Cricetulus griseus: one gene and its partners. The protein of the gene in region 1 purifies or fractionates together with the protein of each later gene. This does not show direct contact. Links are inferred from orthologs where the notes say so. Each region holds a gene or a part of one and is shown in the gene's direction. Other genes may lie near its edges. The genes, in order: Tada3, Supt20h, ubiquitin carboxyl-terminal hydrolase 22 and Zzz3.

What was found.
Region 2: the proteins of Tada3 (region 1) and Supt20h purify together in Homo sapiens (affinity purification with mass spectrometry; 3 studies listed by BioGRID and IntAct, counting the BioPlex papers as one, with this or other methods). This does not show direct contact. The link is inferred for Cricetulus griseus from reciprocal best matches to the Homo sapiens genes TADA3 and SUPT20H.
Region 3: the proteins of Tada3 (region 1) and ubiquitin carboxyl-terminal hydrolase 22 purify together in Homo sapiens (affinity purification with mass spectrometry; 5 studies listed by BioGRID and IntAct, with this or other methods). This does not show direct contact. The link is inferred for Cricetulus griseus from reciprocal best matches to the Homo sapiens genes TADA3 and USP22.
Region 4: the proteins of Tada3 (region 1) and Zzz3 purify together in Homo sapiens (affinity purification with mass spectrometry; 4 studies listed by BioGRID and IntAct, counting the BioPlex papers as one, with this or other methods). This does not show direct contact. The link is inferred for Cricetulus griseus from reciprocal best matches to the Homo sapiens genes TADA3 and ZZZ3.

Annotation. Positions count from the first base shown.
Region 1 is NC_048601.1:31,421,025-31,427,254, forward strand, and holds the start of Tada3 (transcriptional adapter 3), read left to right. Parts: upstream 1-2,065; 5' UTR 2,066-2,203; exon of another isoform or gene 2,204-2,503; 5' UTR 2,504-2,561; exon of another isoform or gene 2,562-3,597; 5' UTR 3,598-3,623; coding exon 3,624-3,830; exon of another isoform or gene 3,831-3,856; intron 3,857-4,800; coding exon 4,801-5,051; intron 5,052-5,179; coding exon 5,180-5,285; intron 5,286-6,230. UniProt on the Homo sapiens protein: Functions as a component of the PCAF complex. The PCAF complex is capable of efficiently acetylating histones in a nucleosomal context. The PCAF complex could be considered as the human version of the yeast SAGA complex.
Region 2 is NW_023276806.1:96,587,265-96,592,727, reverse strand, and holds part of Supt20h (transcription factor SPT20 homolog), read left to right. Parts: intron 1-1,595; coding exon 1,596-1,712; intron 1,713-1,822; coding exon 1,823-1,876; intron 1,877-3,154; coding exon 3,155-3,294; intron 3,295-3,864; coding exon 3,865-4,021; intron 4,022-4,108; coding exon 4,109-4,165; intron 4,166-5,255; coding exon 5,256-5,327; intron 5,328-5,463. UniProt on the Homo sapiens protein: Required for MAP kinase p38 (MAPK11, MAPK12, MAPK13 and/or MAPK14) activation during gastrulation.
Region 3 is NC_048600.1:75,154,526-75,159,988, reverse strand, and holds part of ubiquitin carboxyl-terminal hydrolase 22, read left to right. Parts: intron 1-529; coding exon 530-662; intron 663-2,211; coding exon 2,212-2,325; intron 2,326-5,463. UniProt on the Homo sapiens protein: Deubiquitinase that plays a role in several cellular processes including transcriptional regulation, cell cycle progression or innate immunity.
Region 4 is NW_023276806.1:6,888,372-6,893,834, reverse strand, and holds part of Zzz3 (ZZ-type zinc finger-containing protein 3), read left to right. Parts: coding exon 1-81; intron 82-167; coding exon 168-283; intron 284-844; coding exon 845-916; intron 917-1,722; coding exon 1,723-1,824; intron 1,825-2,406; coding exon 2,407-2,502; intron 2,503-4,541; coding exon 4,542-4,694; intron 4,695-5,463.

The DNA of each region.
Region 1 (6,230 bases):
CAGTGCATTTACCAGAGTTTATGATATGTACACTTTACCATAATTCACAACAAGACATTCTTCATGTATTTTCTTAAATTGGTTCTCCTTCACTAGCTTGTAATTCTCATGGTCAACACACATTAACTTTATTCAGTTATGCTGGTTGCAACTAGCTCAGTACTTCCTATACATAGCATTTTACAAATTTCCTGTAGAGTGAACAAATGAACCGCGAGAAGCATTTTAAACTGCATAGACCAGGCTGCAATGGCAGGCTGGGATAAAAACCCTAGACAATCTAGAATGCCAGTTCACTGAGTTAGCCTTTCTCTCAATGTGGCAGGAAGCATTGGGACTTTCTGAGGAGGAAGTTACATGACTTCAGCAGAGGCTCTCTGGAGAATGGAATGGAGGGAAGTGAGACTCAGAAGAGGCACTGAGTACAGACTGGAGTGGAGAAAGCACAGCATCACAGGGGACAGCCAGACGTTAGACAGAGGAGGGAAAGGCTAAAAACACAACTAAGTTTGCACGTAGCCCGGTGCATTATGTTTTCTCTACACACTAGAGAATTCTATTTATATGTTAACCAAAAAAAGGCAAAACCGGAAGGGTGAAATTAGTAGTTGTCTGGGGTAGAGTGTACCCTTGGAAGAGTGATAGAATGTTCTCTACCTTCATTGAAGTAATGGTTATCTGATTATTTTGTTAATAGTCAAAGTAAGAAAACTAAAAGTGAATTCTAGGTGGCTAGTCCTGTGATGTCTGCCCTTTAGTGAATAGAAGGATCTCAAGTGCAAAAAAACTTAAATGCTTAAAAATGAAAAGCTACATCCTCAGTCAAAGGGATACGGCTTTCAGGCTGAGGAATGAAACCAGTTAGGGCATGGAACGCAGGAGAATGAACAAGTTTAGAAAAAGCATGTGACTTTTGAACAAGAGGGTCTAATTTCAAGGTGTCTCTCCAGAGTCGAGTCACAGGAGCATGGCAAGCAGTCCGGCATTTAGAACTGAGGTCATCAAAGCCAGCATGACCGGGGAAAGCAGTAGGAAGAGAGATGCAACAGTACGGAACACCCACAGACACCAAACCCGAAAAAACCTGGAAGGGAAGGGCCAGCGGTCATCAGCGCTTACACACATTAAGGTCAACACCGTACCGCACTACGAGGAAGGAGCCTGAATGGAGGCAACACCACAGAACCTTCATTGAGGCCTGGAAGCAAGGGGTGGAAGGGATCGAGAGTAATAAGGAGGAGTGGACACTTGCCTTGGGGTACCGTGAGATCGAGAAGACAGGCGGGGACAAGGGGGTGCACTTAGCGAATCTCTACCGTGGATGAAGAGGAGGCCCTGCTTCATTCCTCAGTGGTCCTACCTTGCAGCCGCCACCACAGACCTAGCAGCCCCACTTCCCGCCTCCTCCGAACTCTGGCGAGAGAACATTCCTTCCGGGGATGCCCAACTTGGAAGCATCCGGGCCTGCTCCTGCCCAGCTCACCTCCCAGCTCGCTCCTTCCTCCTCGCATTTGCCCTCGCCCCACCCTCTGCCTCCCCATCCTCATCGTGCCCCCTCATCCTAGGGCAACCTCCGGCCGCAAGCTCAGGCGGCAAACAGCATCTCCCCCAGACCCCACAGCCTCTCCTAGCAAGACACAGGGAGTCCCCCGAGCCCGGGGTCTCTCACCATCTCGGGTGCTGTCGCGGGGCCGGAAAGCGGAAGTGCGGAAGTGCCCGGCCCCGCGACGCCTGCCCTTTCGCGAGGCGCAGCCGCAGTCTCCGCCAGCACTTCCGGGGGGGACCATCTCGAGCAGGACCGGGGAGGAAGTTCCGAGCGACGTTCGGATCCCCTGGACGATCTCACACTGGGACCGTAGGGACTTGTAGGAGGCCTGGGATGACACAGTAGCACTCGAAGCCCCTTGGGTCTCCATACATCTCTTCCCAGCGCCTTTGGTTCTTGTCGCCTCTGTTGTAACTTCCCCCCATGTAACAATAGTACAGCCCGACCTCAGGTTGGGCACCAAATTAGGACAGGCAGAGCCGGAGAAGCCCGACGTTTCTTCCGGTGGTGCTCCCTTCTCCGCCCGGGCTCCTCCTACCGGGAGCCCTGGGGCTTGGCCGAGCAAGTGGGTCCCTGGAGATCTGGGCTCTGAGCCCCGCCCTCGCCCCGGGCTGCTTCCTAGGGGACACCTCAGGCCTAGCATTCCACCTGTCGGAGGTTCGTAGGTGGCCTTAGACCCCCCACCCCCCGGAGGCCACCGTGGGCTGGCTGTGTCCCCGCCCTCGCGTCAACTGCAGGGGGCCGGGCCCGCCCATAGCCAGTTCCGGGGCGGTTGCTTGAGAGCACTGGACTCCCCGCCCCCTCCTGCGGCCCGGGGCCTGTAGGAGGCCGCAGAGAGGAGGTAGGAGAGGCGGGAGCTGTGTTAGGGGCTCCCTAGAGGACGAGGACCCTGGAGGCGGGATCTTGGGGCGACACACAGGTGGAGCCAGCCATTAAGCAGTCCCACTTCTGTGCCAGGCACTGAACTGGGCACCTGAGAAGCATCACCTCTTAATCCTCAGAACATTCCAGGGAGGTAGGTACTCTTGATGCCCCCATTTTACAGATTGATACTTTTTAATGGGGAAACGGACCGAGGCATCATCTCTTGTCCTGGAAAAAAAAAAAGAAAAGAAACTAAGATTCAGGTTAAATAACATGTTTAGAGGGGCACATAATGGGCTGGAACTTAGTTCTGTCTGCTTGACCAGCTCGTGTTCCAAACTAGCTAGGGACGCAGAGAGGTACAAAAGTGGAATGAGGAGAGGCTGGGTGAACCCTGTAAGATAGAATGCTTGAAAGAGCCCAACAGAGGGCATAGGAAGACAGGGCACACTGGTATCTCTCTTGTAGTGCAGGTTTGAGACTTCTTGGGTTCGAATTAATCATGCAGGTTTGTAAACCTAGTTACTAGGGAGGCTGAAGCAGGTGGATCATAAGTGCAAGCAAGGCCTGTCTGGACAACTGAGTGAGAACCTGTCTCAATAAAAAATTGATGAAAGGGGGCTGAATGTAGCTGTTTGGAGACTATGTGCCTACATGCACTGAATAAGCCAGGTGTGGTTACATGCCTGGAATCCCATCACGTGGGAGGTGAAAACAAATATTCGGTTACTTAGCAAGTTTGAGGATGGGAAGTCAGGTGTGGTGGTATACACCTTTATCCCAGCACTCTGGGATGTAGAGGCAAGTATAATGAGTACCAGGCCAGCCAAGACCACATAGTGAGACTTTGTCTCAAAAAAAAACAAAAAAACAAAAAAAAACCTGAAGATAACAGCATGTGTGAGACTCAGGTTCAGTCTTAAGTGCTACCAAAACAAAAAAGACAATGAATTGCACTTAGGAGTCTGTTTCCTTTTTCATCAAAGGAAGAAAGGAAAGCATGAATAAAGCCCATCCCCCAAGGTTGTGTGTATAATTCAGTGAAGTAAGCCCCCCTCTGTACAATCAGGGCTCTATGAACAGGAACGTTGCCACCATCCGTATCTATAAAGGTATTGAATCCTGGTTTCTTTGTTGGACCTCTCTTCCATGCTACTTTGTCTCCCATCCAATGGCCTTCTCTCTAGTTTTACAGAATCCCATCTCCTGAGCCATGAGTGAACTGAAGGACTGCCCATTGCAATTCCATGATTTCAAGTCTGTGGACCACCTGAAGGTCTGTCCCCGGTACACGGCAGTACTGGCCCGCTCCGAGGATGATGGCATTGGTATTGAGGAGCTGGACACTCTGCAGCTGGAGCTTGAGACCTTGCTGTCCTCTGCAAGCAGGCGGCTGCGTGTACTGGAAGCTGAAACCCAGGTGATTCTCCAACAGAGGGGACATCACTAGAGAAAGATTGTGTCAAGTTATGGGATGGCTCATTAGGTTAATGACCTAACATTGACACTATATGTTGAGGATATGGATGGGAAGAGAGACCCAAATGGGAATTGTGACAGCAGAGTTAGGTCCCAACGCCAGGGATGCCATCCTACTAGACTTCAGAAGATGGATTCTGTCCCCTTGTAGTCCCTGGAATTCCCTGGGAGCTTTCTGAGATATACTGTGACACAGTCAGTTGTTTGTGTAGACAGGGCTCCCAGGAGGGTTGATGATTGAAATGAAGGTTAGCTGGGAGTCTTGTTGGCCATCACCAAAAAACCCACCACCAGCAGCATATTTCCCAGGACTGCTGCTATGCTCTGGGGCATAACCTTTTTAAAATTTGTTTTGTTTTTTTTTGAGACAAGGTTTCTCTGTGTAGCTTTGGAGCCTGTCCTGGAATTTCTCTGTAGACCAGGATGGCCTTGAACTTTGAGAGATCCACCTGTCTCTGCCTTCTGAGTAATGGGATTAAAGGTGTGCACCACCACCACTGCCCAGCTTTATTTATTTATTTATTTATTTTGTTTTGTTTTTCGAGACAGGGTTTCTCTGTGCAGCTTTGGAGCCTATCCTGGCACTCACTCTGGAGACCAGGCTGGCCTCCAACTCACGGAGATCTGCCTGCCTCTGCCTCCCAAGTGCTGGGATTAAAGGCATGTGCCACCAACGCCCGGCCAGCTTTATTTTTTTTTAACCTTTCTACCAAACAGTCTGTGGCTAGCTTGGGTAACAGAGGAGAATGAGATGTAGACCTCTGGTTCGATGCATGTGAGAAAAGTCACAGAGAAAGAACTGGATAAGTGCTTTACTTAATAGCCTCCAATTGGAGATCTCAAGTCATCCAAGTGGGGAAGAGGAGCTTGTCTCTTCTCTCCTTCTCAGTGACTGCCTTTGTGTGTTTCAGATCCTTACTGACTGGCAGGATAAGAAAGGTGACCGACGATTCCTGAAGCTGGGTCGAGACCATGAACTTGGTGCTCCCCCCAAACATGGGAAGCCCAAGAAGCAGAAACTGGAAGGGAAGGCAGGGCATGGACCAGGCCCTGGCCCAGGACGACCCAAATCCAAAAACGTTCAGCCAAAGATCCAGGAATATGAATTCACTGATGACCCAATTGACGTGCCTCGGATCCCCAAGAATGACGCTCCCAACAGGTTTTGAGCCTGAACACATAGAACAGAGCTAGAGGGGGCTTAGGGACTGGTGGTGTGGTCTTAGAAGACCCAGGGCTAAGGCTGAAGGAGCCCAGAGGTGCCCACTCAGGGTCTGCTTCTCCCTGCAGGTTCTGGGCCTCTGTGGAGCCCTACTGTGCGGATATCACCAGTGAGGAGGTACGAACACTAGAGGAGCTCCTGAAACCTCCTGAAGATGAAGCCGAACATTATAAGGTAGAAACCCTGAGCCATAGAACCCTGAGTTATAGAACAGGAGGGCTCAGAGGTGCCTCGGAATCCTAGGCAGCAAAGTCCACATCATCTACTTCCTTCCTTCCCAGCCTCCTGCCTGCTGCATTACCCCTGCAGACACTGAGGTTCAGCTTTCCCTTGCTACCCCCACCTCAGCCAAGTGGTGCGTCTGTCTGTCAGTGAAGTTCATCCTGTCCGCTTGCCTTTATCCTAAGAGCCTCTGAACATGCTCCTTGCTTTTAGACTTCAGCAACCGATTTCTTTCTGTACTTAATATATAAAAGTTAAGTTCCTGTTTCATTTCTAAGACACTAGAACTTGCTATGGTGTCCAGGCTGACCTTAAACCCTTGGACTCACCATCTCCCTCTCAGGTCCCCAGGTGTCTGGGACCACAAACATAACATCACTATACCTGTCTTAAAGGTTTTTGGTTTTTTTGAAACTGGATTTTATATATCCCAGACTAGCCTTGAACTTTGTGTAATGATGACCCTGAACTTCTGATCTTCTTTCCTCTGACTCCCTCATGTTGGGATTACAGGTATGTAATCCCAGTTTTGCAATCCTGAGATAGAGCCCAGGGCTTTGTACATTCCAGCCAAGCTCTCTACCAGCAGAGATACATCCCCAGCAAGATAGTTTTATGTATCATGAAAATAAAACATGTTCCATAAAAGAAAGTGGACCAACCGCGTGAGGAGGAGACTCTACCACATGGCAACTCCCACCTTGGCTGTGCTGCGTCTAGACCTTCTCTAAACCTTTTAGCCACAGGATGGAGGCCAAGTGTCTCAGTGCTTGGTGACACCCCAGTTCCCCTCTCCAGTCTTCCTTGGCCACACCCCTCTTTCCTGCTGCATTCATCAGCTGTACCAGACATGTCTCCCTCCCACTGGTCTCACCAGGGTCTGTGCCCAAGCTCTTC
Region 2 (5,463 bases), on another chromosome or scaffold:
TCATAGTGTTAGTGGAACCAATTAACCAGCATTCCTGCATCTTTCTCCATACGTTGTCTTTGCTTTCTTGTTTAAGTGGATGAATCTCATTCCTTAAGTCCTGATCCCTATTTCCCTTCTAGGTCTTTCCCTTCTTGGTGGCTTACAACCATAAGCCCCCACTAGATACAGAATTTAAACATGCTGTGTTCTCAGCTTGAAAACCTCTTAAGACCTCCCTGTTTTTTTCAGCTATTGATTTAGAGTTCTTCTCACTACAAAGGCACTCAAAAACTTGTCTATAAACTTTTTATCACACTCTTTCTTCACTCATCTAGCCAGCCTTGTAACAAGCATTTCTTAGATGATTTTGTCAAGTCACTGATCTCATGGCATGGCATTATTAGTCACTTTTCTGTTTGAATCTGAATTGTTCTATGCAGTGTAGCTGGGCTTAATGATACATGCTTTTCATCCTAGCATCGGGGAGAGTCAGAAGTTCAAGGCTATCTTCAGCTTCATGTTGATTTGATAGCTAAAGTAAATCCAAAATGGTTACAGAGAGAGCAGTTGCATAGGTATCATTGTTGGGTGACATTGGATACATGAAGATTTCCAATAGCCAGATGTTTATATGAATTGATTAAAAGATGGTTGCTTTCATTAATCCCAACTAGAGAAACAGGTAATTGTTGTCCTTTGGTAGCAAATCATGTGATATGTACAGCTGTAAGGGTGGTAGCAATTAGTATAATTCGGAAAGTGTAGATTATTAGTATACTAAGTTCCCAGTTGTTAACAACAAAGTATAAAAAGTACAGCTTTGGCCAAATGTAATATTTTAAATATTTATTGTTAAGACTGTGATTAATATCCTATTCATAAGTATTATTGTTTAAAGAAAGCATGCACATAAGGAAGGAAGCTAAGTAGGGTTCATATGATAATTCTAGACTAGCTGTTAGTATTAGCTTGGTTGACTTAAGATAAAGACTACTATGGTTATAGAAGTATCGATTGTATTTATCAATTTGTATTTGAGCACAAATAACTAACGGTATAAAGTGCCTGAACATACTGTGAGGGAGTAGGTAAGTTGTAGTGAACTGAGTGCTAAGGTTTCTTAAACATGCAATACAACATAGTTGTGAGTTAAATTCATGGTTAGTTCCTTCTTGTTCATACAGTCTAAAAAGTCTAGAAATTTCAGGAAAGCAAATATGGAAGTTATATCTAGAAGCTGAAATTGTGGCACAGTTAGTGTATTGCAATGACAAATTATATAACAATTATGATACTAGCTAAATGAAATAATGAGCCAGTGAGCTTCAGAAGAACCTCCATCTGAAGGAACTCCAGAAATTTCCCCATAGATGAATGCCAAAGTTATCCTGGATATCATTAGATGCAATGTCAGTCTACTATTAACAGTTTTAAATTGCTTTTTATAATGATGAACATAAAAATAATCATCTCTAGTAGTTTATATAGTAGTGTATCCACCAAAGATATCTATTGAAAGTATAGAGTTTAAAGACTGAAACATTCAGTATAAGCTTGCTTATTTTGGCTTTTGAAAAATGACATTTACCTGAATGTTTTTTTACTTAAAACAGGTTAATATTTTTCATTGTGGATGTGTGATAGCAGAAATACGTGACTATAGGCAATCCAGTAACATGAAGTCTCCTGGTTACCAAAGTAGGCACATTCTCTTACGTCCAACAATGCAGGTATGGAATGTCTAGTTAGGAAGTACTGTTTTTTGTTTTAGTTTGGATTTTATTAGATGTTCATATATGTATATGAAAATACATGTTTTAAAATGTTTTGTTTCTTCTAGACTTTAGTCTGTGATGTTCATTCTATAACAAGTGACAACCATAAATGGACCCAGGTTAGTTCTCTCTCTAATCTCATGTAGACCACACACAGAGTGAAGCATTAGTGAGAGGCTTACTTTTACTCACATTTGATTGTGTGTTGGGTTGGACGTTTGGACAAACCCAAGATTCCCTTATGAGCTTTGGGATTTTAAAATCTGTACATTTAGAAATCCCTCAAGGAACTGCTTATAATCCAGTCCCAAATTGCTTCCAGTCTTGTTGCTAAACTAGGGTTAAGTTAATTTATAAAGCCTAACATGAAAATTGGTTGTTTTGTTTTTATTTTAGATTTTTGTTTTTGTTCTTGTTACTTTTTTTTATTAATTTTTTTTATTTTTTTTTAAGACAGGTTTTCTTTATATGACAGTCCTGGCTGTCTTGGAACTCCCTCTATTAGGTCAGGCTTGGCCCCTAACTCACAGAGATCCTCCTGCCTCTGTCTCCCAAGTGTTGGGATTAAAGGCGTGTGCCACCATCGTCCGACTCATCCTATCCAACAAAATCTTTATTCTTACCATTGAATGCATATAGATTGTGATTTTTCTTCCATCCAGGATTCTAAAATTCTAAAAGAAGCCTATTTTTTCTTCTTCTGCCGCCCTTCCTTCCTTTCTCCCTTTTTCTTTTTGGAGTAAGATCTCTAGCACAGGCTGGCTTGGAACTTGAGATTCTGCTGCCTCTCCCTCTTGAATTCTGAGAGTAAAGACCTGTATCATCACACCTGGTCTAACAGGATTTCTTAGCAATGACAACAGCTAATTAATTGATCCTCTAGTTCTGGCTCTTTTTTATCTATTACTGTGGAGAGAAAATTTCAGTAATGAAATAGCCCTCTATGAAATAAGCTTGTGAACTAAGATTCAGCTTATCCAAAACTAGTAAATGATGAGCTTTAGTCTGGGCTGTTGTTTTCCCATCTATAAAAAGGTCAAAAGTTCTTCACATCAGAGACAGAGTTGCAGTCAGTGCTGGAGAGCAGTAAAGCATCAGTTTCTTAAGCTGAGAACTGGTAAACAAAGGAAAAATTTATTCCACCATTTCCAAACAAACTATTTTAGACAGCCAAATAAATATTCACTCTCTGAATTTTACTCTTTTATACAATATACAAAAAACTGAATTTCCATCAGAAGTTTATCTTGTGGGTTTACACAGTAATGTTCAAACTTGAGTTACTACAGTTACTTTAGTCTTAAGCAAACTTCTTGGGAATATTTCTGGCTTAAATGATGTATGTTTACATTATGAAAAATATATCTGAATCTGACATATACTCCTGTGTATTTCAGGAAGACAAACTTTTGCTTGAGAGCCAACTGATTCTAGCTACAGCAGAACCACTGTGTCTTGACCCATCTGTGGCAGTAGCTTGTACTGCAAATAGGCTGCTCTATAACCGGCAAAAGATGAACACTCGCCCAATGAAACGGTAATTTCCGGCACTTGTGTAACACAGGCTCTTAAGTGTTGCTAGCCACAGTGCCCTTTCCCTCAGCATGGCAGTGCTGGACTTTTTACATTTGAAAATGGGATTTTTAATGGCCTTGTATTGTGATTTTGTGTGGTAGGATTTTTAAAAAATATTCCCTGCATTATTGTAAAGTGGTATTCTCTGCAGTCTTTTAAAGAAGGAACTTCAGTAAGTTTATGGTCTGTGAGGCTGAAAAAAGACCAGATAGGAACAGAAGGATGGTAGCTTCATTACTTCACAACACTAATTGGAAACATCTAACAAGGAAATAGTATGTAACTTACAAATTTTGAGCCATACAGTCAGAGTTTTAGGGGTTAATTTATAAGGGCTCTCTTTCCATTTCGGGATTTGAATCAGCTTGGCTACATGGTCATGAGTATTTGGTCTCCTTTTTGTTTTACTTGTACCTAAAGCTTGCTGATGTGAGAGTGTTGGATAGGCATTTGCAATTTAATCTATAATTAATATGCTGCTTCTTTTCCATATAGATTGAGTTGTTGCTTTGTGTATTCCAATGTCTGTTAGGTGTTTGAAGAGGTATTCCAGGTCCTCCCTGAACCGGCAGCAGGACCTGTCTCATTGTCCTCCTCCCCCTCAGCTGAGATTACTTGATTTCTTACAAAAACGGAAGGAAAGGAAAGCAGGTCAGCATTATGACCTCAAAATTTCTAAAGCAGGAAATGTAAGTCGTTCTTCAGGAGCTTACTATTCTGACAGGCTAACTTTGTTTTAAGTTTTTGGTGTAATTGTACTGCCTTTAACTTTTCAGTGTGTGGACATGTGGAAACGGAGCCCCTGTAACCTGGCTGTGCCTTCTGAAGTAGATGTAAGTTCATGAAATGCTGCTCTCTAGCACAGGGTCAAAGTTCATCATTAGGAAGCTAATGCTGTGAGAAAACAAAAGAAAGAAAGCCAAAATCCTTCCTTTTTAACAAACCAAGTTCTCGTTTTAAGAAGCTATGTATTTACATCAGTCATGTAAGTTTCGTGTGTTGTGTTTTTAAACCTGGGTCTTGCTGTGTAGCCCAGGGTGTTCACATCTTGGGGTAATCCTCCTCTCTCACTCAGTTTCCAAAGTCAAGAGATTCTGAGAATGGACCACCAATCCAGCCTTAGTTACATAATAGCATAGCTTGAAGGAGTTCTCAGTTAGGAGCAGGAATAATAATAAGGTTTCAAAATGTGGAAAGGGTGTGATATTTTTTATATAATGTAAAAGAAATAAACTTATTATGTTTATATACTCAAAATTGGCAGACTTTAAAGATTAGTAATATTAGAGCCATGACCCAAAATAGGAATTCCCAGCACTATTCAAATTCTAAGTGATCACGGGGATGTTAATGAAGGACAATATTTTATTTCATTTCTTGTGTCTCTCAGAGTCAATTGTATTATTTACTCAGTTATCACATATGTATATGTGTGTGTGTGGTGTGTGTGTATATACAATAACGTGTGGAAGATGAGAGTTGATTCTTTGCTTCTACCACATTGTTCCTAAGCATCAAACAACTCAGGTCTTCAGTTTCAGTGGAAAGTACTTTTATCTGCTAAGCCATCTCACCAGCCCTTACTCAATTCATTATGATCCTTATTTCAGAATTACTTCATTATTTCAATAATGCTTTTGTGTTATTGTCCTAACAATTAAAATACAAAGCCAAAGGCATTAATAGCCTATGTATATAAACCAAGCAAGCCATATTGTCTTCTTGTTTCATATATGGCCCTCAGGCAGCTAGTGCTCTTAACTACTTTATCATCTGCAGTTCCACATCAGGAGGGTTTTAAAGTTATTAAATACAAGTGCTTGGTGATACTGGTAGTTGAAACCTTATATTCACACTGGTCTTGTTGAATTTTTCAGGTTCTTCTCTTTGTTCCAATACTGATTCCATGTCTTTACCATTTAGGTGGAGAAATATGCTAAAGTAGAAAAATCCATCAAATCTGATGACTCTCAACCAACAGTCTGGCCAGCTCATGTAAGTAATCAGTGCTAGTCCTTCTCATTAATAATGCAGTTTGCTTGGGTATTTTTGTTGTTGTTTTGAGACAGTATCTCTTTTGGCACAGACTGGCCTCAAATTTGCAATGTAGCCAAGGCTGACCTTGAATATA
Region 3 (5,463 bases), on another chromosome or scaffold:
GCATTCATGTTTGCTGTGATTGCATTGCTGGGTTTCTGTGGCCTGATTCTTGGCAGTGGATTTTTCTCTTGTTTATGTATTGCATTGATTCATGTCTCTTTACTGTAGTTCTTGGGTTGTTTTATATTGGTGTTTTATTTTGTTTGTCTTTTAAACACATTGTGCATCTTTTTTAGAACCTTGATTCTCAAGCTTCAAAATGATACCTGAATTAGAGATGGTTGGGTATGAGCTGCCTGCTGGAGTGCAGGTGGCATTTGCCTGGGGTGCCTGAAAATTCAGTGCTGGGGGTGAGAAAATGATGGCATCACCATAGCTGTTCTCTTGTTGATTTGGTTTTGAGCTAAAGTAAGTGCTTTGGGAAAATGGGAAGAATGAAGTGATGTGTTACAGTGTAAAGACTCAGAAGAAACCTCCTGTGCTTCTTCCTGCCAGGGTCCCAGTTGTGATCCTCTACTTGGACTCCGTGTTTCCCCTTGGGAACTCCTGTTGCATCCACACTGCTCATAACTCCTTATCTACATTTCAGGCAAAGTCCTGTGTCTGCCATGTCTGCGGCATCCACCTGAACCGGCTGCACTCTTGCCTCTACTGTGTCTTCTTTGGCTGTTTCACAAAGAAACACATCCATGACCATGCAAAGTCAAAGCGGCACAACCTGGGTAAGACACCCTCCTGCAGCAGGGGCAGGCGTTGGCTCAGTTAGCACATTATCCTCCCTAAAAGCCCACTGTGATGAAAGCCTCCTTGTGAAACTGAACTCTCAAGTGGTGTTACCATTTGCTTTGAGGCCTTTTAAACCCTTTTAGCAATGGGTTTTCCTGGTTTTCAGTAATGCGGGTTCATGAAAGGCTAGCTAAGCATCATATAACATCAAGAGTTTGAAGTAGTTGTGCATGTGTGTGTGAAGTAGTTGTGCATGTGTGTTTGTGTGTTGTTGTTGGCAGTCTCATGCTGTGAAATTGCCATGCAGCCAAAGATAACCTTGAATTGAACTTCTGATTTTCCTGCTTCTACCTCCCCAGTGCTAGCATTATAGGCTATGTCTACCATATAGGCACTTGCTTTATTCTTTTAAACTGTCTTGTTATATAGCCCAGGATAGCCTCAGACATGGGATCCTCCTTTATCAGCCTTCAGCTTGCTAGGATTGTAGGCATGCATGATCATGCTTGGCTTAATATTGGTTAATGTTAGCATGTACAGCCACCAGTTTCCATCTTAGCATCGTGTCCACCTCCTTCCCCAAGTCCCTAAGGTTTAGTGTGATAGGTTTTTTTGTCTTTCTTTTTTTTCCTTTTTGAAACAAGGCTGTCTTGGAACTTAACTTTGTAGACCAGGCTGGCCTCAAATTCAGAGATCCACCTGCCACTGTCTCCTGAGTGCTGGGACTAAAGTTGTGGCCATCATGCCCAACAGGTTTATTTTCATTTTTCTTGAAATAGTTTCTAGTTTTCCTAAGATTTCTCCTTAGATTCATTTGGGGTGGTTTCTGTCCCATCTTCTGAGATTTCTGTTTTGTTTTTTCTTTCCCCTGCTATTGTAGAGTTAATTCCATTGTGATCAGAAAACAATTGTTTCAGTGGTATACCTGCTTCAGAGTCTGGCAACAGCTCAGAAAGTGACACCTGGAATCTCTGTCACCCAGCAATCCCAGTCCCTAATTTTGAAGTAGCATCTGGCACAGATAAAAGTTCAGTTTCTGTGCTGTGAAGTAAGGTTTCTGAGTGGAACCTGTTTCACCTGTCCCTGGAAAAAGAACAACACAGAGTCAAGATAGAGGAAGCAGCAAATAGCTGTTAGTCTCCCTTACAAGACTGCCAGCCATCGAGGATGTAGCAAAGTCTCATTCCCCAGTCAGGTCGCTGAGAACTCTTGTGGACCTAAAATAAATACTCCGTGAAGTTTTGCCCTAGTTTTGAGTGTTGTGCTTGCACAGCTGAAGCAGAGCACCCTGATCCTTGCATCAGTACTTTGCAAGCCACAGATGTGTGCCTCTCATTCTTGCTCATCCCTCCGGGAAACTTCTGGAAACAGCAGACATACTCACCCACCTTGGATAAACCCTTGCAGTTGGACTTCCTGCAGCTCATAGAGGAAAATGCTCTGGGCAGCTGGTGTCTAGAATACTTGGCTCATGTTCAGCTGCTTGAAGCACTAACTCACCATGCTAGATTTAATTTTGTTCTCTTCCCTCCTTTCTGTCTGCAGCTATTGACCTGATGTATGGAGGGATATACTGCTTCTTGTGTCAGGACTACATCTATGACAAGGACATAGAAATCATTGCCAAAGAGGAACAGCGAAAGGCATGGAAGTTGCAAGGTGCGTTCACAGTGCTTAGAGAAGGTTAGGTGACCAAAAAATAGTCAAGGAAGCTGGCTCAGTCTGGGTAGGAGAGAAAAAAACAAGTCCTACTTTTCCTGGGTCAGTCCCATAGCTCACAGAAACGATGAAACTAATGCAGGAAGCGTGTAGATTTAATGGAATGGGTTTTGGTGCTTAGGAGAGGATGGGTGGCTCTTCCACGGCAATACCCCAGGCTGTGTCCATCCTCCCTGCAGAAGGTCTGTTAGACAGTACAGTTTCTCCCTTTTCTTACTCAGTTCCTAGCCCTGGCAGATTGAGATGTTGTATTGCCTCTTGCTGGACTAGTGTGGAAATTCCTTAAATATTGGACCAAGTGTCTGGCTCAGAGGTAGAACCGTTTCCTACTATATACAAGGCATAGGGCTTGAACCCTACTACTACAGAAAAGGAAGAAACAAAAACTGTTGAAATAGACCTTAGTTAGGGTTTCTATTGCTGTGAAGAGACACCATGACCATGACAACCCTAATAAAGAAAAACATTTCATGGTGGTGGCAGCTTACAGTTTCAGAGGTTCAGTTCATTAGCATCATTGCAGGACAGGACAGCATGCAGGCAGATGTGGTACAGGAGAGGTAACTGAGAGTTCTACATTTTGTGCAGGCAACAGAAAGTGGTCTGTCTCATTGAGCTTGGCTAAAGCATATATGTGGCCTCAAAGCCTGCCTCCACAGTGACACACTTTCTCCAACAAGACTATACCTACTCCACCAAGGCCACACCTCCTAATGGTGCCACTCCCTTTGGGGGCCATTTTTCAAGCCACCACAATGCCTATGCCTAAATGATATGAGCTACTCTTGGCAGTGGAGTTAGATGCATCATGGAGACAATACCATTAGAAATTTTGTTCTCTTTTTTAAGATTTCCCTATGTATAGCAAAAACAGCCTGTCCCAGCATTCACAAAATGTGTATTCCAGGTAAGCAAAGCCCAGAAACCATGCAGAAGTCCCCCTCACACACACACTGTCAGTCTTGTAACTTTATTTTCTAAATTAACATTTTATCTAGTAAAAGGCGGTTTTTAAGCTTCAAGCACTTAACAAAAGCATATGGTAACAGTTACTCCTTAGATACAAAATATTATGTCTCTTCTTGGCAAAGTTTAATATAGTAAGATAATCCTTCAGTTTGTTATCTGTATGGAAGCTACCCAGTTCCTGAATGTTTTTTTTGTTTGCAGAGGTTGGCATCTTCTATTAATTCATTATTAAAAAAAAAAGTTTTATAATAAGTGTTACACAAAGATCTTTAGCAAATATTATTTCCATGAATTTTTTGTTTTGTTTTTGGTACAAGATTTCTCTGTATAACAGCCCTGGGTGTCCTGGAACTTACTTTGTAGATCAGGCTGGCCCTGAACTCAGAGATCCACCTGTCTCTGCCTCCCAAGTGCTGGGATTAAAGGTGTGTGCCACAACCCCCTAGCTACTGCCATGATTTTGCAGCCTTATAAAATCTCGTAGTTAACAAGTGTATACACGGTACTCCTGGAAACAAAACCCATAGTGAAAATATTATAAGGAAAGGAGTTTTAAATTTTGTTTGTGTACATGCCAGTTTGTAGTGGTGTGAACACCCTCATGTCAACATCAGTTGCTCTCTTATCTTATATTTAGAGACAGGGTCTCTTACTGAACATGGAACTCAGCATTTCAAAGAGACTGTCGTATTAGTAAGCCCCTAGGATTGGACTGCCTCTGCCCCCCCAGGTGGTTGCAAACCCCATGTGGTTGCTATGAATTGAACCCTGATCCTCTGAAAGAGCAGTTCGAGCTCTTAACCACTGAGCCAAGTCTCCAGCCCCCCTTAAATATTTTATTGTAATTTATGTGTATTGGCATCTTGCCTGCATGTTTGTCTGGGTACCACTTGCATGCCTGGTACCCAAGGAGACCAGAGAAGGGCACCTGAAGTTACACTTGGTTGGTAGCCTCCAGGTGGGTACTGGGAGTTGAGCCTGGGTCTTCTGGAAGAACACTCAGTGTTCTTAACCCCCAAGCCATCACTCCAGCCCCAATGAAATGACTTTTAATATATATGATGTAGAAGCATTTTACATTTTCTCTCTATAATGTCCTTAACACAGAAGGTCAGGCACAGTGAGCCTGCACCTCCTTGAGGTGTGGTAAGGGTAGAACTTGATGAGACAGTGAGACACAAGGAGCAAAGGAGAGCCAGCCAGTGCTGCACTTGTGCAGATTGGCATCTGGTTTAATGGACCAAGCCCCTCCAGCATTTCTTCATTCCCAGTGACATTAGTCTGGCCAGGTACCTCAATGCCCCTGTGACTGTGACTCCTAAGGGGCCGTGCCTGGATCAGGAAGAAGGCAAAACTCATTCTGATTCCATCTGGCCAAGTGATATACTATTAAAGTTTATTGAATTGGAAATTTTAAGTCGTGTAGGAAAAGTCTCTCTGAGTGGGGTGTGTGAGAGTGCAGTACCTAGTGGGTATCATTGTCATGGGTTCCAGTCTTTCAGCAAGCAGATCAAAAGTGCATTTTCAGCAGGCTGTGGTGCATGGTTTCACGGTCCTGGCACTTGGGAGATGGGCAGGCTGATCTTTTGAGTTTGAGGCCAGTCCAGTCTACATAGCAAGTTCCAAGCCAGCTAGAGCAACACAGTGAGACCCTAACTCTGACAACAAACAAAACAAAGAAAGTGCATTTTCTCTTTCTTTGCCAGTCCTGGGGATCAAACATGGGCCAAACATATTGTAGGTGAGTGCTTTACTACTAAGCTGCACGCCAGACTCAAAAGTACATTTTCTCTGGCAGTCTCATTTTCAGAAAGATTCATGAGTTGTCAGTCAGGTTGTCCCCATTGGAGCTGATGCTACCATATCTGAACCTCAGTATCCAAGGCATTTGAGAAACACTAGTGTCTGGCATTTTGATGGGTTGGTCATGTTACTTTCCTTGACTCAATAAACATGGTGTGATCATAGACATTCACTGAGGGAAACTCCTGTTGTGATCTGGCACCTCTCAGCACAGCGGGGTGTTAGAAGAAGGTTCCCTCTCTGAATGGAGCTCAGTGTAGGTCAAGTCATCACAGCTTTTATTTACAAGAGAACTTAGCTAACAGT
Region 4 (5,463 bases), on another chromosome or scaffold:
CCAACAGCCTTGGGAACTTCGAAAGAGAATTTAAAAATCGCAAAAGACATTCTAGAAGAGTTAAGTTAGTTTTCGATAAAGGTAAGAACTCACACGGTGAGAATTTCATGAGGAAGATGTCTTGCAGTGTCTTGCTTGAATAATTCTGTATGTGATTTTATTTTTAGTAGGCTTGCCTGCTAGACCAAAAAGTCCTTTAGATCTTAAGAAGGATGGAGAGCCCCTCTCTTACTCCGTGTTGCCTTTGAGTGACGGTCCAGAAGGCTCCCATAGTCGCCCTCAGGTGAGTGGTATGAAATGCGTGAAAGCATGAAAGTATTTAACGTTCTGTTGAATTGTGTTCTTAAAATGGAGAGCTGTTCACTGAAAAATAATGGGAACGTAAACTTTCCAGTTAACCAGAAACCTAAATCTGCGTCCAAACTGCTAGCTCTGACACCTCAGTTGTTGTGTATGTTCTGGTCTTCAAGTTGCAGCCTCTTATAAAATGTAATTGGTATTGGTTATATTGTAGAGTCTTTATGGGTTTTAAATGGGCATTGTGGGTACCTTGCCCAGTACCAGTGGCACTGTGGAGTGTGACCAGGATTTGAGGTATGGCTTTGTCTCTGTAGGAATTGTTACTTTTCAGTTTTGAACCCACACTTCTTGTTGTTTATTTGAGGATTGTGAAGAGTTTAAAACCAAATGAAATATAAGAATATAAAAAAAATTAATCAGTAAATAGGTGGTATATGTGTTAAAAATACGCAAAGATATTTTGGAAATTGTGAAACATTCCTTGTGTGTTCTTTAGCTATATCCTTGCTGTTTTCCATTTATAAAAGCCTTCTTTTATATGCAGATGATAAGAGGTCGCCTGTGTGATGACACCAAACCTGAAACATTCAACCAGCTGTGGACTGTTGAAGAACAGGTAAATACATACGTCTAGCTTGTTTGGGTTTAATGACAATCTGAACTGTTAATAGTAAAATTAGCACTGCCAGGCAAGTGTTTACTGTTGCATTGTAATTCCTTTTAATCATGAGTTTAAAATGTGTAGAGTTACTTTTCTATCCCTTTTGCATAGTTTGAGAGTTTTGGATTTTGAAGATGCATGAACTATTTTTAGGATTAATTCTTAGAGAGAAACCCTGGGTTTGGGAAAACCCTCAGGACATGCAGAGCCCCTTCAAGTTGCATTTTAATTTCTGTTGTCTCAGATTGCCTGTGCTAAGGGCTGGTGTTGCCCAGCTGTAGTGAAGTGTGACCTTGATGTTGTGTATTTAGTTAGGTTGTGTATGGAGTGTTAGAAGCTGAGTACCAGGATCCAGTCAGATGCTTGGCTGACAGATGACACAAGAGGGAACACTCTGACATGGCTCCTCTGTGCATTCTGGCCCAAAGACAGTTGGGGAGCCTCGTTCACTCAGATGTGTGCAGCCCGACGTGACGTGTTGTTTCTCTTCTGCTCTCTTGTGCTATAGTCACTAAATAAAGTGAATACAGATCCTCCACGGGGCTTTACTAGGTGTCGTCGTGGATCTCATCTTGCCTGTGGCATCTTATGTCCCTGACTGGAACTCTTTTCTACTTTGAGAATCTAATGATGGGACCTCCAGAGCTGGGAAAGCAGCACTGTACTTTGAATAAAATGTGAATGTGTCTTTTTAGAAGTCCAGTGTTTTAAATGGAAAAATACATTTTTTCACTTAAAACTTGGTCTTGGGTTTGATGCAGAAAAAACTTGAAGAGCTCCTCCTGAAATACCCTCCTGAGGAAGTAGAGTCTCGGCGGTGGCAGAAGATTGCAGATGAGCTGGGCAACCGGACAGCCAAACAGGTGATGGGAAGGCTGTGGGCTGTGCGTGCAGACCTGGCAGACAGTTCTGCAGCCATGCTGGCACAGCTGCTGCCCTTGCTAGCTCTAGTGTGTGATGGTTTTAAATGATTAGCATTGCTTGTTTCTATGTTGATTGCAGAAACAACATAAGTAAACCTGTTCTGCATCAATGCAAAACATTAAAAAAATATATATATATACAGTGGACCTTGTATCTCTTGAGTGTAAGCCTAGTGAGTGTGCTGCGGTGTCATTTTGATTAGACTGTGCTGGTGGGTTTTGTGCATGGCATTAATGTAATCCTGGTTGTCTTCTGAACATGGACACGGCAGCTTCCTTCCTCGCGCTCATCTGCATTACTGGTGATGGCTTCCTGCTGTACTCACCCATGTTCACCAGTGACAGTAAGGGTTTAGCTTCGAAATCACACAAACTTAAATTTACTTGAAATGACTCTGTCAAGATTTTAAAATACAGATGTCTTTGATGATCACTTAAAGGTTATTTCTCGATTTAGTCATCACCATTTAAAACTTTGCTGATATATCATTTCGTTGTATTTAAGAACTGTTGTTTCCTTAGGTGGCCAGCCGTGTACAGAAGTACTTCATAAAGCTAACTAAAGCTGGCATTCCAGTTCCAGGCCGAACACCTAACTTATATATGTACTCTAAAAAGGTAAGGAGGGACTGTTGTGGAGGTGTGAGTTTGCTAGGCTGCGCTCCTCTTCTTTTTGACATTCCACTACCTTGGGTATAAAGGCAGAATAAGATTCCCTTTGTTGCTACCTAGAAAAATATGCTAAGTTTTAACAGTTCTTCATTATTTTCCTGTAAGTAATATGAATGAGTACTACTTAAAGGGTTTTTGTACCAATTCTTTGGGAATGTCTTTGTGATGTTAAATTTTGTAAGGTATGGACTGTGAAATGTAGGCTTGCTCTCTTCCTGCTCTCCTGCATAGACTGGAAATGTTCCTGAAACCCTTAGCCCGCCCTCACTGTGGTTCTAGAGTTGTAAGTAGTGTTCGCCCTTCCACTTTATGGTGGCACAGTAGACCAGAATAACATATAAACACCATCTTGCCACAAACTAGTTAAGCGGAGAACCATTGTTTTTGAGACAATCTCCCTAGGTAGTCCTAGCTGACCTAGAACTTGCTGTGTACATCAAGGCTTGTGTTGGTCCTCACACCTCTGCTGGGATTGCAGATGAATGCTGCTGTGTTGCTTTCATGTTAGTCCCAAGCGGCCTTTTTGCCCCCTCACCCTGCTTCAGGGTACTAGGCACTAACCTAGGTCCTCAGCATGCAAGGCAGGGAGTGTGCCATGGAGTTAGGCCATCAGTCCTCTCTATTGCAGTCCCATTGCTTCCCCGCTGCCCTCTAGTCAGAGAAGCTCTCTGGGATGCACAGAGCACTGCATTAGCAGTGTGCAGCCAACTAGGAGAGATAGAGGCTGCTTCTGTTGGCTTGGCAACTCCTTATGATCTCGTCCTTCTGCCACGCCCCCTCTTCACATAAAGGAAGCTGCTATGACCTTCCTGGTGGGTGCTGGTTTATATGATTTCATGTTACAATAAGGAGATTGTTTATATAGTTGACATCTTTGAGTTCTTAGAGATTCATTTTACTTTTTAAATTACATGTCTATGAATGGGTGTGTATATGAATACTGGTACCCACAGAGGCCAGAGCATTGATTTCCCCCAGAGCTGGCGTGTTAGGAGGTTGTGAGCAACCTTCAGGGGTTCTGGGAATCAAACTCTAATGTTCTGCAAGGACAGTAAGTACCCTAACACCTGAACCATCTCTCCAGCTCCATGGGTTTTTGGAATTATGTTTAATCAAGCGTTTCAAGATCATTTTAGTTTGTTAATTGTTTTAAGTACTTGGAATGCTGGAGCCTGGCATACCCCTCCCCTCCTGTGGTTCAAACCCAAGACTTTATTTATGCTAGGCAAATGCTCAGCCATTGAGGAATATCCCCAAACCCTTAGTTAATTTTTCTAAATTAATTTTATTAAATGTTTCTTTATACCTTGTGTTTTTACAAACAAGAGTGAGTAATATCAGAAAGGAACACTGGCAAAGCCTGAAAGAGTGAATAATATCAGAAAGGAACACTGGCAAAGCCTGAATCTGTTCATTCTGTAGAGTAGTCTCTTGGAAGGTCATTGACATCATGGCTGTGGAGTAGTGGTGCAACCATCGTCATAATGTTCCTGACCATGGCGACCGCTTGGACTTTGCATGGGTGGAATGGAGGGACTCCAGTGGTTCCTCTTTATGACGGTGGTATAGACTGGTCTGCATAGTGGTTGGTAGCGAAGGCTGTGCCGCCACACAGATCTCCTCCCAGTTCTGCCCTAGCCTGAAACCCACCTCATGCGGGGGTCTCTGCATCTCTGAATAGCTACTGTGTAGGCGTGTGGTGAGGCTAAGTGAGACTGTTAGAAAGCAAGCAGTGACTTGCTGTTAGGTGATTGTTTTGGACACTCAAATGTTATGGCATAAAAAACCTTCTCTTTTTTACTGGGCAGTTATTTATCTGACTTAGGCCATTTTATTCTCTGATTTTCAGTAGAAGTTGATCATGAGAGTTGAGTGCAGCCAGTATTGAGTTCCTGTAACTGGTGGGTGGGTGTGCACGTTTTTGTCCTTTTGATTCTGTTCATGGTTTCCCACTGTTCCAATAAGACATCTTTTTTCTCACGCAGTCTTCAGCAAGCAGACGGCAGCACCCTCTCAATAAGCACCTCTTCAAACCCTCCACTTTCATGACTTCCCATGAGCCGCCAGTGTATATGGATGAAGACGATGACCGCTCCTGTTTTCATGGCCACACAAGCCCTGCTGTGGAGGAGGCGTCGGTAAGTTGCTGCCTGTTTTTATAGGGAACACGCGTTTTTGATTATTCCTTCTCTTCAGGGAATGTACCCTGATGTACCCCCTTTTAACCAACAAGTCAGATTTAAAGTTCTATGCATTGTTTTCCGTGAAGAAAATTCAGTATATAGCTAAGTAGTGAGAACAGCACACTGGACCCATATCCCGCCCCTCAGCTTCAATAATTGTCACCTGGCAGTTAGTCTGCTTGCCTGTCTTCCTCCTCAGTCTCACTTCAGATGGTTTTGGAAGGAGATAGTTCCAGACAGCAAGCTCAGCTTTCTGAGGAGTGACTCTTCATGTAATGGAGTGTCTGGTTACCTTGGTCATGCCACCAAGTGTGTGCACACACGTGCTCAGGGCGCTGTGCACATCAGGCAAGCACTGTACCCCTGAGCTGGACTCACTAATTTGGGGTGCTTTTTACTTTGTTTGGAGCCAAAGAGTGGCGATAAATTGGGGGTAGGGATGAAAAACCCTCCTTTGACTTTCCTCAGCCTTAACTGCTTGCACTGAAACCTGGTTTGTTTGTCCATGGATTTGCTGCCGTGGTGTGGATTGTATCAGCTGTATCCATTTGTGCCATCTCATTTTTTCTTTGTCCTGAATTTCCTGTGAAATGACTGATTCCTTGCTTGAAGAATGTATCCTGACACTCTGATTGCATAGAATCAGAACAGGAGATTTTAATGGAGAGTTAGCCATACTCTCCATTTTGTCTCTTAAGTAACCAATAGTGGTTGTATTGTGGAG